Linked DNA regions of Nothobranchius furzeri. The protein of the gene in region 1 purifies or fractionates together with the protein of each later gene. This does not show direct contact. Links are inferred from orthologs where the notes say so. Each region holds a gene or a part of one and is shown in the gene's direction. Other genes may lie near its edges.

Region 1 (3,754 bases):
GACAGGTTATCACTGGCGTCAGCGAGACCCTGAAGGGGTCGTGAGGTTCAGCTTTTATTCTGAAGGAACCGTTGCAGACAGGTGTAACTTATAATAGATTTTATCCAGCTTGTCGAGGTTCTTTATGGCTGAAGGGGAAGTCCGGATGGCCTGTCCGAGACTTCTCTAGAACGCTTTAAACCAAACAAAAGGTGGCGTGGGATAGTTTTTATAATTGTCATATTTTGGTTTACTGGCGAATCAGAATTTGACATGCAAAAGAGGGTTTAAACAAACACCACAGAAAACAATGCCTCGCGTCAGAAACGAAGGTTCTGATTGGATCAGACAAAAGGAAATGTGTCATGTGGCTTTAGCGTTACATGTCATTAGTGTCTAGTGGAAATGCCCAAGATTATAATTACTTGTAAAATACTACTGATCACAGGATTATAATATCAAGTAATAACATTGTCATTTCACAGATTGATTGAACATTGGGCTCACATTATTATTGGTAATAACTAAGTTGGTTGATTATGTGTTTATCAAGAGTTCTTCGTCTTCGTCTTGAGCTGTAACAGAGGTGAAGCAGTTCAATGAGCAGAGTGCATGAAATACCTTGGCCACTATCTCATGTAGATTAGCCTGTGTCAGAGACAAGTCTCTGCTCGAGCAGACGCAGCAGATCATGACCTTTTGGTCAAAAACAGGACATTCATGACACTACAACTGCAATGACTTTGGGACAATAGAATCGTTTCTCATTGGGATTTTACCAACAGACCATTGCAACATCTGAGACTGGATAATGTAAAGTAATACTTTAGTGTTCTTGTGATGGACTGGAGACCAGCAGGCTGCCCACCTCGCACAGTCTGCTGAAGGTGGACACCAGCTCCCAATGGAGTACAGGAGGAATTGGTTACACCATATGAACAATGAATATTTGCTGTAGTGTTGTCCATCACCATTTCTACTTATTGAACAACTAAAAAATTTTCAATGTTTGTTTTTCTGTCCAAATTTTCCTTCAATAAACACATGAAATTGCAAAACAGAGCTGTTGTCCTTGTGCGCATTTACATGATAGATGTACAGTGGGGGCATTGAAAGAAAATATAGAGTTTTTTGTTGAGTAAATATAAAGGTATCTGATGTTTGTATGAATTTGACCGCCGATCGTCAAAACCTTAAAAATTATAAACAATAAAATCTGATCTTAAAGCAAGGGTGGGATTGATCTTATAAAAATAATATAAAGTTGAACATGAATGACAGATTTAATACAAATTCGTCAAAAAGATGCAACAGAAGAACCGAGAGGAAGGTCCACGTACGCGTCAGAAACAAACTCTCGCTCAATTTTCATCTCGCGAGAGTTCGTCCAATTGCTAATGATGGATGTCGGTGGGAATGGTGGTGGTCCACCTGTAAACAATAAACAAAGAGCTATGCTGCCCAATAAAGGCAGGGGAGAATTTCCTCGGAATTCAAGAAAAGACTCAGAGGTGCGTTAACAGAAAAGTTAATTTTTATTTCGCCAGGGGGTTCTGTAATCAAGACGAGGCCTCGTTTCTGCTATTGTAACGTTAGCTTTGTGAGTGTCTCTTAACTAGCATGTCTTTAACAACTCGGCTGCTGCTATCTGCAGTAACTGACTCAAAATGTTTTAAATGTGTGTGTATATCTTTGTGATCTTTTTGTCCTCTGAAATGTTGCTGTTGGTTTAGCTCTAGCTTCGCTTAGAGTAGCTAGCTGATGCTAGCTAACAGGACTGCCTGTCAGAATTCTGTCTACCTGTTGAAAAAATGTGAGTCGGGTCCACTCGTGCTTTATGATCCATTTAGTTGCAGCAACAGTGCTTTAAAAACAGTTACGTGAATAAGCTAACATAGGGTTCTTCCTAGTCACAGTGCGTGTCTGCATCATGATGCATAGCAGCAATTTCCAGAATCTGCTCCAGGAGTTGATTTGACCCAATAAACAAACTGAATCAAGTACAACTAGAAATTAAAAAATACTTGATTTGTCTCTATTTTGGTGCTAGAATTGGTCTTTTAATACTGCAGTTTGTCCAAATGAAACCAAATTTACTCACCATGGTTGTAGTGGATATGCAGGAGCTCCACCATCAGTATTAGAAAGAAAACGATATTTTATATAGCGCCTCTCAAGATAAAAATCACGAGGCACTTCACAAAAACAAAAAGTACGGAAAGAGAGAGAGAAAATTAATAGGAAAGACCAGAGAGCATGCAGGGGTGGGCAGTCCTGGACCTCGAGGGCCGCTCTTTAGCATGTTTTAGTTGTTTCCCTGCATTAATACATTTCATTTTAATCAGCAGGTGATTAAAAGACCTCTACATAAGCTTGATGACCTGCTGAACAGGTTATTCAACCATTGAATTAAGTGTGTTGGAACAGGGAAATGACTAAAACATGCTGGGTAGTGCCCTCAGAGGACCAGAGTTGTCCACTGATCCACTTGGTTTGATGCTTGTACGTAAACACTAAATCATATTTGTTGTGGTTGTTGTGACTCATCCTTCAATTAACAATGGGATTGGGTTCTGGTTAGTTTGGAGATCAGATGTCAGCCTCTTTTCTCATTTTTATGTGTTTTTGTGTAGCAGGTGTTATCACTCGGGGCTGGACACATCTTGTGTGCAGTGTTGTGTTGCTGCAGTATGGAGCTAGGATTGTGTGCAGTGTGTTTGGTGTCAAAAATCCCTTTTATCTAACTCTGACATCCTTATGTTTCACAATAAATCATACTTTAGTCAGGGTTACTACAACACTTAATTTACATCTGGGATATATAAAATGATTTCTTAATTAAAATTCTAATTAGTGATACTTCTTCAAAACTGTAGGCAAGAAATTACTATTATTTTTGTCTGATATCTGATCTCATGTGTGCAGGGAATGTCTGAGTTGCCGGATCTCGAGTTTGAATATTCTGACACAGACAAGTGGGCTGCAGAGCTGTCAGGTTTGGATGCATATGCTTCTCAGAATCAGAAATCTAGATTCAGAATAAGTTTGACTTGTTCTTAACTAGACCATTAATTAAATTTTATTTTGTACCATTTTCAGAACTTTACAGTTACACTGAAGGACCAGAATTTGTTCTTAACAGGAAGTGCTTTGAGGAAGAATTCAGAGCTCATGGTAGGTGGCCCTAATTACCGATAAGATGCTTATAAAATATAAAATGTTTATTTAGCTGTTTCCTTGCTGTGCTTCAGTGTTTGATAAGAAGTGGACGGAGCTGGATGCAGCTCAGCACAGGGCTCATGCCTTGCGTCTCCTGGACAGTCTGGAGGTCATCACTCGTGAGAAGAGACTGAAGGTTGCTAGAGCTATTCTGTACATGGCTCAGGGTCAGTGTTCCCTCACTTTGAATAAAATCAACTTAATTACAAGGTAAAGATCTGCTTTATGTTTCTAACCTTTGATAAATCTCTGTTTTATGCAGGAACCTTTGGAGAATGCAGCTCTGAGGTTGAGGTGCAGCACTGGATGAGATATAACATATTTCTGCTACTTGATGTTGGGACCTTCTCTGCTCTGGTGGAACTACTTAACATGGAGATCGAGTATGTTTTATGTTCAGTTCATGAATGGTTGTTGCACATTAATTGCTGTAAAAGTTGTTGTTTCGCAGAGTTTTCAGTCTATGTATTTTCTGTTATATCACTGATGCACTCTACTCCTCAGTAACAGTGCCGCCTGTAGTAGTGCAGTCAGAAAACCGGCCATCTCCCTCGCC
Region 2 (3,754 bases), on another chromosome or scaffold:
TGACTAAAATAAAATTATAAACGCCTCAGACTTCTAAAGAAACGTTGCTCAGGCTACAATGCCACGTATTCTTCATTTGATTTTAATAAATGGTATATTGATACTTTCGAAAAAATATAAACAAAGATGCTTTCTTTCAAGAGAAGTACGTCGTATAAATTGTTTTTTGTAATTATTTGGAAAACTTAAGAATAAACGTAAAGGTCCAGTTTAAGGTGTATCGTTAAGAAGTAGGTTGGCACATTTGCGACATCATCCAGCTGAAACAAATGCAAAAACCAAAATGGGAATTAGATCAAAACCAATTTTAAATCCGAAATTTGTCAGACGGCTAATCAAGTCCGATACAACACACATGCGCTAAAACGTGTTTGATTTCCTAACAGATCGAGGGTAAACGAAGAAAACACCGCGGCTAACGGCACGAGGATGATGGAAAACAAAGAAACTACCTACAAAGCTCGCGTCTACAAAAGTTGTGCACCAACTAGAAACGTCTTAAGTGTTAGAATGGCCAAAGTAGCATGTCTTCGGTACTTTAGACACGTCAAAGAAACGCCAGCTTGCTATTTAACCGTCGCTCGGTCGTTTGGAACGTTAGCTCGTTAGCCAGAGCACGCTGCTGTGGCCCGAGAAAAAACAAGGCATCCCCACCCAGGCCCGACTTCTGCTGTACACCGCCCGTTCGCTTTGGTGACCCCGCCTGAATTATAAAAAAATTAAATGCGAAATAAGACATTTAAATATATCTCAACGGTTTACCAAGCAGAGAAAAATAATATAAAACTCACCCCAACAGCTTTTAGCACTGTCACCAGCGCCGCTAGAAGCAGCACGGCACATTACGTAGTGATTAGGGAGACAGCTCCCGCGATATTTGACGAAGGCTAGGGAAGCCTCTGCAGCTGGCTCTGTTGTCACGCATGGGTTCATGGGAAATGATGTTCAGTTGTTTTGAAGTAAATAATCGGGCTCAACCTGGGCTCAACCGAGGTTTAAAAGGCATTAAATGCTTAATATGCAGTAAAGTATGCTATTAAATGTTAAAACGGCTTTTCCCACAGGTCTGCGCACCAGACACTCATGAAGATAGTTGGATAATGAAATTATTCAGAAAATGTCTATGCACACGGTTTCCTTGCCGAGAATGAGAAAACCAAAGGATTCGTAAACATTTTTACGTCTACGATGATACGTTTGACGGCAAGATACTTGTTTACGGTACAATCCCGGAAGTGACGCTATATTTTTTCCTCTCGAATACGAAGTTGCCAACAAAAAGAGGGATTTCTTTTGTTATACATTGTCCTGGTTTAATTAGTCATCTGTCTCTTGAGAAATGATCTAGGAGGGTCCGCTGAGATATGAATATTTGTTTGTAAAACATTTTTGTGCGTTTGAACAGCATAGCCAGCGTAAGCTACAGTACGGGCAAATTTTCGCCTGATCAAACTGGTATTTGGAAGCTTTAGTTTACAAATACGACTAGTCACTTAATAGCTAATGGCCTGTACTTTTGAAAAAGTGTTGGGGGATGCTAGGACCCTCCTGGAAAGGCTGAAAGAGCACGATACGGCTGCTGAGGGACTGATCGAGCAATCCGGGGCCCTCAGCCAGAGAGTGCAGGGCATGAGGGAGGTGGGCAATGCTCTTCCAGACAAGGTAAGATGGTCTCTCACACATAAACGTTGGGTGAAAGTATATTTATATTAGAAGGCTGACTTAAGCCATGCATTAAGGATTTGGGGTTGCAGGTAAGCTTAAAATGACACTCTTCTCTAACTCTACTCAAGTACTTAGACATTTTGAGATAGAAGGTCTGATCGTCCAAAAAAGTACACCAGCCTTTAAAAGCATATTTAAATAATGGGAATTATTTATCAAGAGGTGGAACAGTCATCCAACTAGTGCTTAAAATGTATTTTTTACTTATGACATTTTCCTTGTTGCTGCCTTTTAGCACACAGAAGACAGCTCAGAGATTCGGGAACTCACAAAATACAAGCCTCACATCCTTCTGACTCAAGAAAACACTCAAATCAAGGAATTGCAGCAAGAGAATAAAGGTAAAATCCTTACAATGTTTTTAGGTATTTTTAGAGTTCATGTGTTTGTCTGTAATTTTTGTCTTCGCCACTGTTTCCGCAGAACTATGGCTGTCCCTTGAAGAGCACCAGTACACACTAGAACTGATCATGGGTCGATATCGCAAGCAGATGCTCCAGCTGATGATGGCAAAAAAGGAGCTGGACACGAAACCAGTGCTCAGACTACACCAAGACTACGTCAAAGTACACCAACTTTCATTGTGCTGTGAACATTCCCAGTCATGTAATTTTCTGACAGAAAAAGGGGTTTGAAGTTATGCTTTCTGAATCTTATCCAGGAAGTGCAAAGCCAGGTGGAACGGATATGTGAGATGGGCCAAGTGATGAGGAGAGCCATGCAGGTGGACGATCAGCACTTCTGCTCTGTTCAAGAGAGGCTTGCTCAACTGGAGGTAAGGACTGGAATGGCAGTCGTGATGTCAGGAGTTATCATTAAGCTTTTAAAAGGCAAAATCAGTGACTCTAAGGCTTTGAAACAGCTCAGGAAATTAGCATGAGTCTACAAACACACACAAGGCTTAGTGCTGCTAGCATAAAAACTGTTGGAGTTTCTCAGGTTTTCTTGTTTGCTAGTTTCCTGGAGCGTATGGTGCAGCATTAGATTATGAATGAAAATATCTGGACACACCTGAGATCAACTTAGAAACTCTTTGAGATGACTTTCTTGACTCATTCTGGTTAAAATGTTGATTCAATAAACCAAACTCGCATAGATACAACCATCTTGCATGGACTGGTGATAACGAGTAATCTACACGAGGTTACGTTTGGTTATCCGGGCTCTTTCAGATTGAGAACAAGGAGCTTCGGGACCTTCTGGCCATCAGCCAGGCATCTGTGAAGATGGGAAATGAAGAGAGCCACCAGCCATCAACACCAGCAGCAGCAGTGCCCTCAGGCAGTGACCAATGAGTGACCCGAGCAGCTGCAGTCTGAACTGATCAGGTGGAACAACCAACCAAACAGGAAGAGCTTTTTCTTTTTTAAGCACAACCTAGATTGCAGAATAATGTTTGTAAAAGTAATTTAAATTCAACATTAAAGCCATCAGAAGCATTTAACTACCAGTGGGTATATCATTATGATAGATATCTTTATGTACAGTAGTTGTGTTTTCACTGCAGCAATGTTGGGAGTGAATTCCTCATAAACGAACGGAGTTTGACTGAGGTGCTTTGGGTATCACTGGTTTATTTTATATTTATCTAAATGCTGAAGTGAAGCTGAGGGAGATTTATTTTTGTTTAGAATGGAGAAAGGATGAGTTTAATCTTTTAAGAACATAAAAAAGTAAAATGCCCAAAAAGTAAAATGCCTCTGTTTTAAACGCTAACTTGTACACCACGTGTGATGTTGTGTTCATCGCCAAGAAAATGACTATTGGCTGTTTCACAAAACAAAATGCCTGCGCTGGAATGACAGTGGGCAGTTTTTTAAAGAGATTGTAAATTTATAAATGTACATTTTGTCTGCCATAGTTGATTGTTATGCTTACAACATGATAAATACCAGTTTTTACTCTGAATTTTTAGATTGGATTGCAGAGTAAATGTGTAATAGTTGACTGCACATCTTTCTCACGGTAACATTTTGTAAGCATTACTTTTTTGAGTGTTATGTACTTGTGCACTGTTATTTTGTCATGA
Region 3 (3,754 bases), on another chromosome or scaffold:
TATTACAAAGTGACACTTTTGGGGATGGGCAGGGTACAGTTGAGATTCAGTTCTTCAGGCTATTTTGGAAATGGTAACACTTTTTTTCCTAGACGTTTTGACAATTTTCTTTAAAATTTCAACATTTTTCTTGACGTTTTAACTTTATCCTGGAAATAGTATTTCACTTGTTGACTAGCATTTTTACTTTTATACAATTAAACCCCGAAACCCCTTTTTGAAACAATTTATTAAATTGTGGCTTCTTCGAATAGGAAAATAAATAACCCATGAGAGTTTGGTAGTGATTTTTCCACCAGGCATGTGAGCATGTTTGGCCTGCCAGACTCGTCCTCTGTTTAATTCTACACAGAGAACTAATGCTTCCCATAAGGATGCATGACTGGTCAGGCTAGCTGAATGTGGGAGAAAAGAGATTTAAATAAAGATTTTGCTTTGAAGTTACAAACCTTCGGCTGAATTTCCTGGCTGATCCTTGTTGATTGCTGTCTGAATATTACTGAAGGAAGCAGGTGGAGCACATTGTTGCAGAACACCGATGGCATCACAGAACTGATCAGCCAGCTGTTCACACGCAACAAAACAAACACGGGTTTTAAAACTCCGGACATTTGTTTAAAAGAATATAGAATAGATAAACAGCCAGTATAGTCTGATAGTTGCATTACCAGTTAAACCAAGCCATGTTCATTGGTTAAAACATAAAAGCTGTGATAAATTGTGTAAATTAACTAAACCTTAGACTCGCAAGTTAGCGATTAGCTACATTTAAAAGACTGAAACGATAATTCTGCAAATATTTCTTATCTAAATCCATTTGTTGTAATTGTGTAAGATAAAAAAATAACTATTGACGTAGAAAATAATTATATTTCGGGATATTTCAATAGTTTTGCTTACAGAATTGACAGCGTCTTGAAGTTGCGTTAGCCTATCCGCCATGTTGCCGTAAATAAAATAAAAAACTCCCCAACGTGACCCTCGCGAGAGTTTAACGTCTCGCGGAAATAAACAAGAGGCTTCGAGTTAGCTGAAGCGATGGCTGTGACCGTCCCACGGCTGGTTTTTTGTAATGTGGATAGGTTTTAAATCGACTTTTTCATGACTAGCGATATTTACTCTCGTGCTTTAAGGAAATGGGAACGCGCCAAAGCATCTAATCCGGAGTAAACGTCAGCTTTTAGCCAGTGTTAGCCACCAAACAACAACAGGAAGTAAAGAAGCTAACTCAACCCAAGTGGTTTTGTACTTTGAACTCTTCAGGTATGACCACACATTTGTCAGTTTTGCTGCCTTTTGTGGACCTTACAAGTTTAGTTATAGCAGCCGGTTGGTGTTATGAACTCCTCGGTAGTTTATATTTGATTAATGAAGTGTTGTGGTGATAAATTGTGTCAGTAAATGCAAAATATGTTAAGTAATAAAACTCTTATTAGAGTAAAATGACCTATCAATGCATTATTGGCTGTAAACTAGCGTGCTATCACCTACGAGGAGGCTTAAGGTTCAAGCTAGGTTCTTTAGCTTTAGAAACGTTTATTCATGGCTCATTTCGATCGTTCTGGTGAATTATTATTATTTTACAGAGTGTGGTGAAGTGAAAGTTCATGTATTTTCGTGTGGCTGTCTGTAAAAAGATTCTGAACAACTAATATAGAAGTAGACAGATCTTTGAATGAGCTGAGTTTGAAGAAATAAAGATTAGTACTTACTGGACTGATTTGTTTGCATGTATTCGTAGTGTATTGCATTAATTATATTTATTTTCAATAAATTGATACCAACAAGTCAGAGCTGTTGAATAATCAAAAATAAGTTGTTTTTATGCTTCTGTATTTCCTTAGGTATGAATTGTAGTTTAGAGAAGGTCTTGGCAGATGCCAAATCATTAGTGGAAAGGCTTCGTAACCACGACAATGCCGCTGAGATGCTAATTGAACAGACAACATCTCTCAACAAGAGAGTGGAGGCTATAAAAACGGTATGTGATTTTTTTTTTTCCTATTTTATGTGCTGTTGGGTACTAGCTTAGTGCCACCAGGGGTCACATTTTACTAATTCTATAACTGAACACTCTATAATGCAAAAGAAGAAAGTAAAGTGCATTCCAAAGAATGATGGAATATTTTAACCGTAGCGTTGACTGCTGTTTAGTTTACAGGACATAACTACTGAGGGCGAAGCTTTTTATTGATTCGTTATTTATTTATTTTTTCACATTTGACAGTACCAGGAAGAGATTGATGCACTGAACCAGGTTGCGCGACATCGGCCTCGTTCCAGTCTGGTTCTGGGAATCCAACAAGAGAACCGTCAGATCAGAGAACTCCAGCAGGAAAACAAAGGTAGTCTTTCAGTGTTAATACTCATGGTGATTGCTTCCTGTTCGGTACAATACATTCCTTTACTTTTGTCAAATCACACTGCTTACAAACACTGAAATGTTTTTGGGCAGAAAAAATGTTTTTTACAAATATCCAGAGACATCATTAAGGTAAAATTTATTTACATAGACATATACAGATCGACTAGAGTTATTTAAAATCCTTACAAAATATTTTTCACTGCATTTCCCTATTCATTTGTTCAGTAATTAGTAGTCACTTACTTAGCTTGCTGCCATGGTCCAATTAAGAGTGAATAATTAGCCTACTTACCTTTTTATACCATTACTAAAATGTCTTCCTCGTACCACTAGAGGGAGCTCTCATACCATGATTTGAGAATGACTTTGTCATAGTTAGCCAACCAAACATGCGTTCTCTCTTTCTGCAGAGCTCCGAACATCTTTGGAGGAACACCAGTCTGCGATAGAGCTCATCATGACTAAATACAGGGAGCAGGTGTTCAGGCTCCTAATGGCGAGCAAGAGGGATGACCCCGCCATCGTCACTCAGCTGAAGGAGCAGCACACCACGGTCAGCAACTCGGGTTTCCTTTGTTCTTCTAATTCATATTTTAATAACTGTAATGTAAAATCTTCTAATCATTTTTTGTTGATCTGTGCAGGAAATGCAAGCGCACATAGACAAAATCAACGAGATGGCATCTGTGATGAGGAAAGCTATAAAGGTGGATGAGGACCGAATATGTGAAGACGAGGAGAGGATTAAACAGTTAGAGGTAAAGACGAATAAGGAGTTGCTGCATCATCCCTGTAAATGTTCTGAATTCTGATGCAGGAAAACATGTTTGACATGAATGAAACAAGGGAGAGTTTAGCTATTTAAATGATTCATGAGTCATCTTACACAGGTAAGCAATATCATTTAAGACTAACTCATTTGGATCAAAGCATCTGCCATAGTGGGTTAAACTATGAATCAGTACATTTGGGACCGGTTTTCCCACTGGTTCATTCAGTTTGTTATAACTGAGAGTAACGTTCTGACAAACGGGTCATGTAGTTAAGTGATCTAAACAATAAGAAGCTACAGAGAAAATAAAATCATGAAAGAAATCAGTTTAAACACAATGTTAATGGAAATAAGAAAGTAGAGAACAGGCATTATGTTTGTGGTTTAAACATGAGAGTTTTATTATCTGTACATTTTACAGAAGGCTGTAGGTTCAAATCCCGGTAGATCAGATTAACCTATCTGTGACCACCAATAGAGCTGGACGATATACATAAAAAGCATATTGATTAATATCAATAATTATTAATAACTAGAAAATGTAGAAAATATATTAGAAGTGCTGAGCTGGCCATTTTATGGTCATTACGTACAAGTTGGTTATTACCAGACTTGAT

Evidence for each region.
Region 2: the proteins of strip1 (region 1) and sike1 purify together in Homo sapiens (affinity purification with mass spectrometry; 3 studies listed by BioGRID and IntAct, with this or other methods). This does not show direct contact. The link is inferred for Nothobranchius furzeri from reciprocal best matches to the Homo sapiens genes STRIP1 and SIKE1.
Region 3: the proteins of strip1 (region 1) and fgfr1op2 purify together in Homo sapiens (affinity purification with mass spectrometry; 3 studies listed by BioGRID and IntAct, with this or other methods). This does not show direct contact. The link is inferred for Nothobranchius furzeri from reciprocal best matches to the Homo sapiens genes STRIP1 and FGFR1OP2.

What each region holds. Positions count from the first base shown.
Region 1 is NC_091743.1:46,738,345-46,742,098, forward strand, and holds the start of strip1 (striatin-interacting protein 1 homolog), read left to right. Parts: upstream 1-1,053; 5' UTR 1,054-1,253; coding exon 1,254-1,490; intron 1,491-2,904; coding exon 2,905-2,974; intron 2,975-3,078; coding exon 3,079-3,153; intron 3,154-3,230; coding exon 3,231-3,365; intron 3,366-3,460; coding exon 3,461-3,581; intron 3,582-3,702; coding exon 3,703-3,754. UniProt on the Homo sapiens protein: Plays a role in the regulation of cell morphology and cytoskeletal organization. Required in the cortical actin filament dynamics and cell shape. Part of the striatin-interacting phosphatase and kinase (STRIPAK) complexes.
Region 2 is NC_091755.1:53,138,384-53,142,137, forward strand, and holds the start of sike1 (suppressor of IKBKE 1), read left to right. Parts: upstream 1-1,358; 5' UTR 1,359-1,503; coding exon 1,504-1,662; intron 1,663-1,960; coding exon 1,961-2,066; intron 2,067-2,148; coding exon 2,149-2,291; intron 2,292-2,386; coding exon 2,387-2,500; intron 2,501-2,897; coding exon 2,898-3,020; 3' UTR 3,021-3,754.
Region 3 is NC_091741.1:59,845,472-59,849,225, reverse strand, and holds the start of fgfr1op2 (FGFR1 oncogene partner 2 homolog), read left to right. Parts: upstream 1-998; 5' UTR 999-1,263; intron 1,264-1,844; 5' UTR 1,845-1,846; coding exon 1,847-1,981; intron 1,982-2,227; coding exon 2,228-2,345; intron 2,346-2,775; coding exon 2,776-2,918; intron 2,919-3,009; coding exon 3,010-3,123; intron 3,124-3,754. Other genes in the region: med21 (mediator of RNA polymerase II transcription subunit 21), read right to left, coding at 450-564, 901-942. UniProt on the Homo sapiens protein: May be involved in wound healing pathway.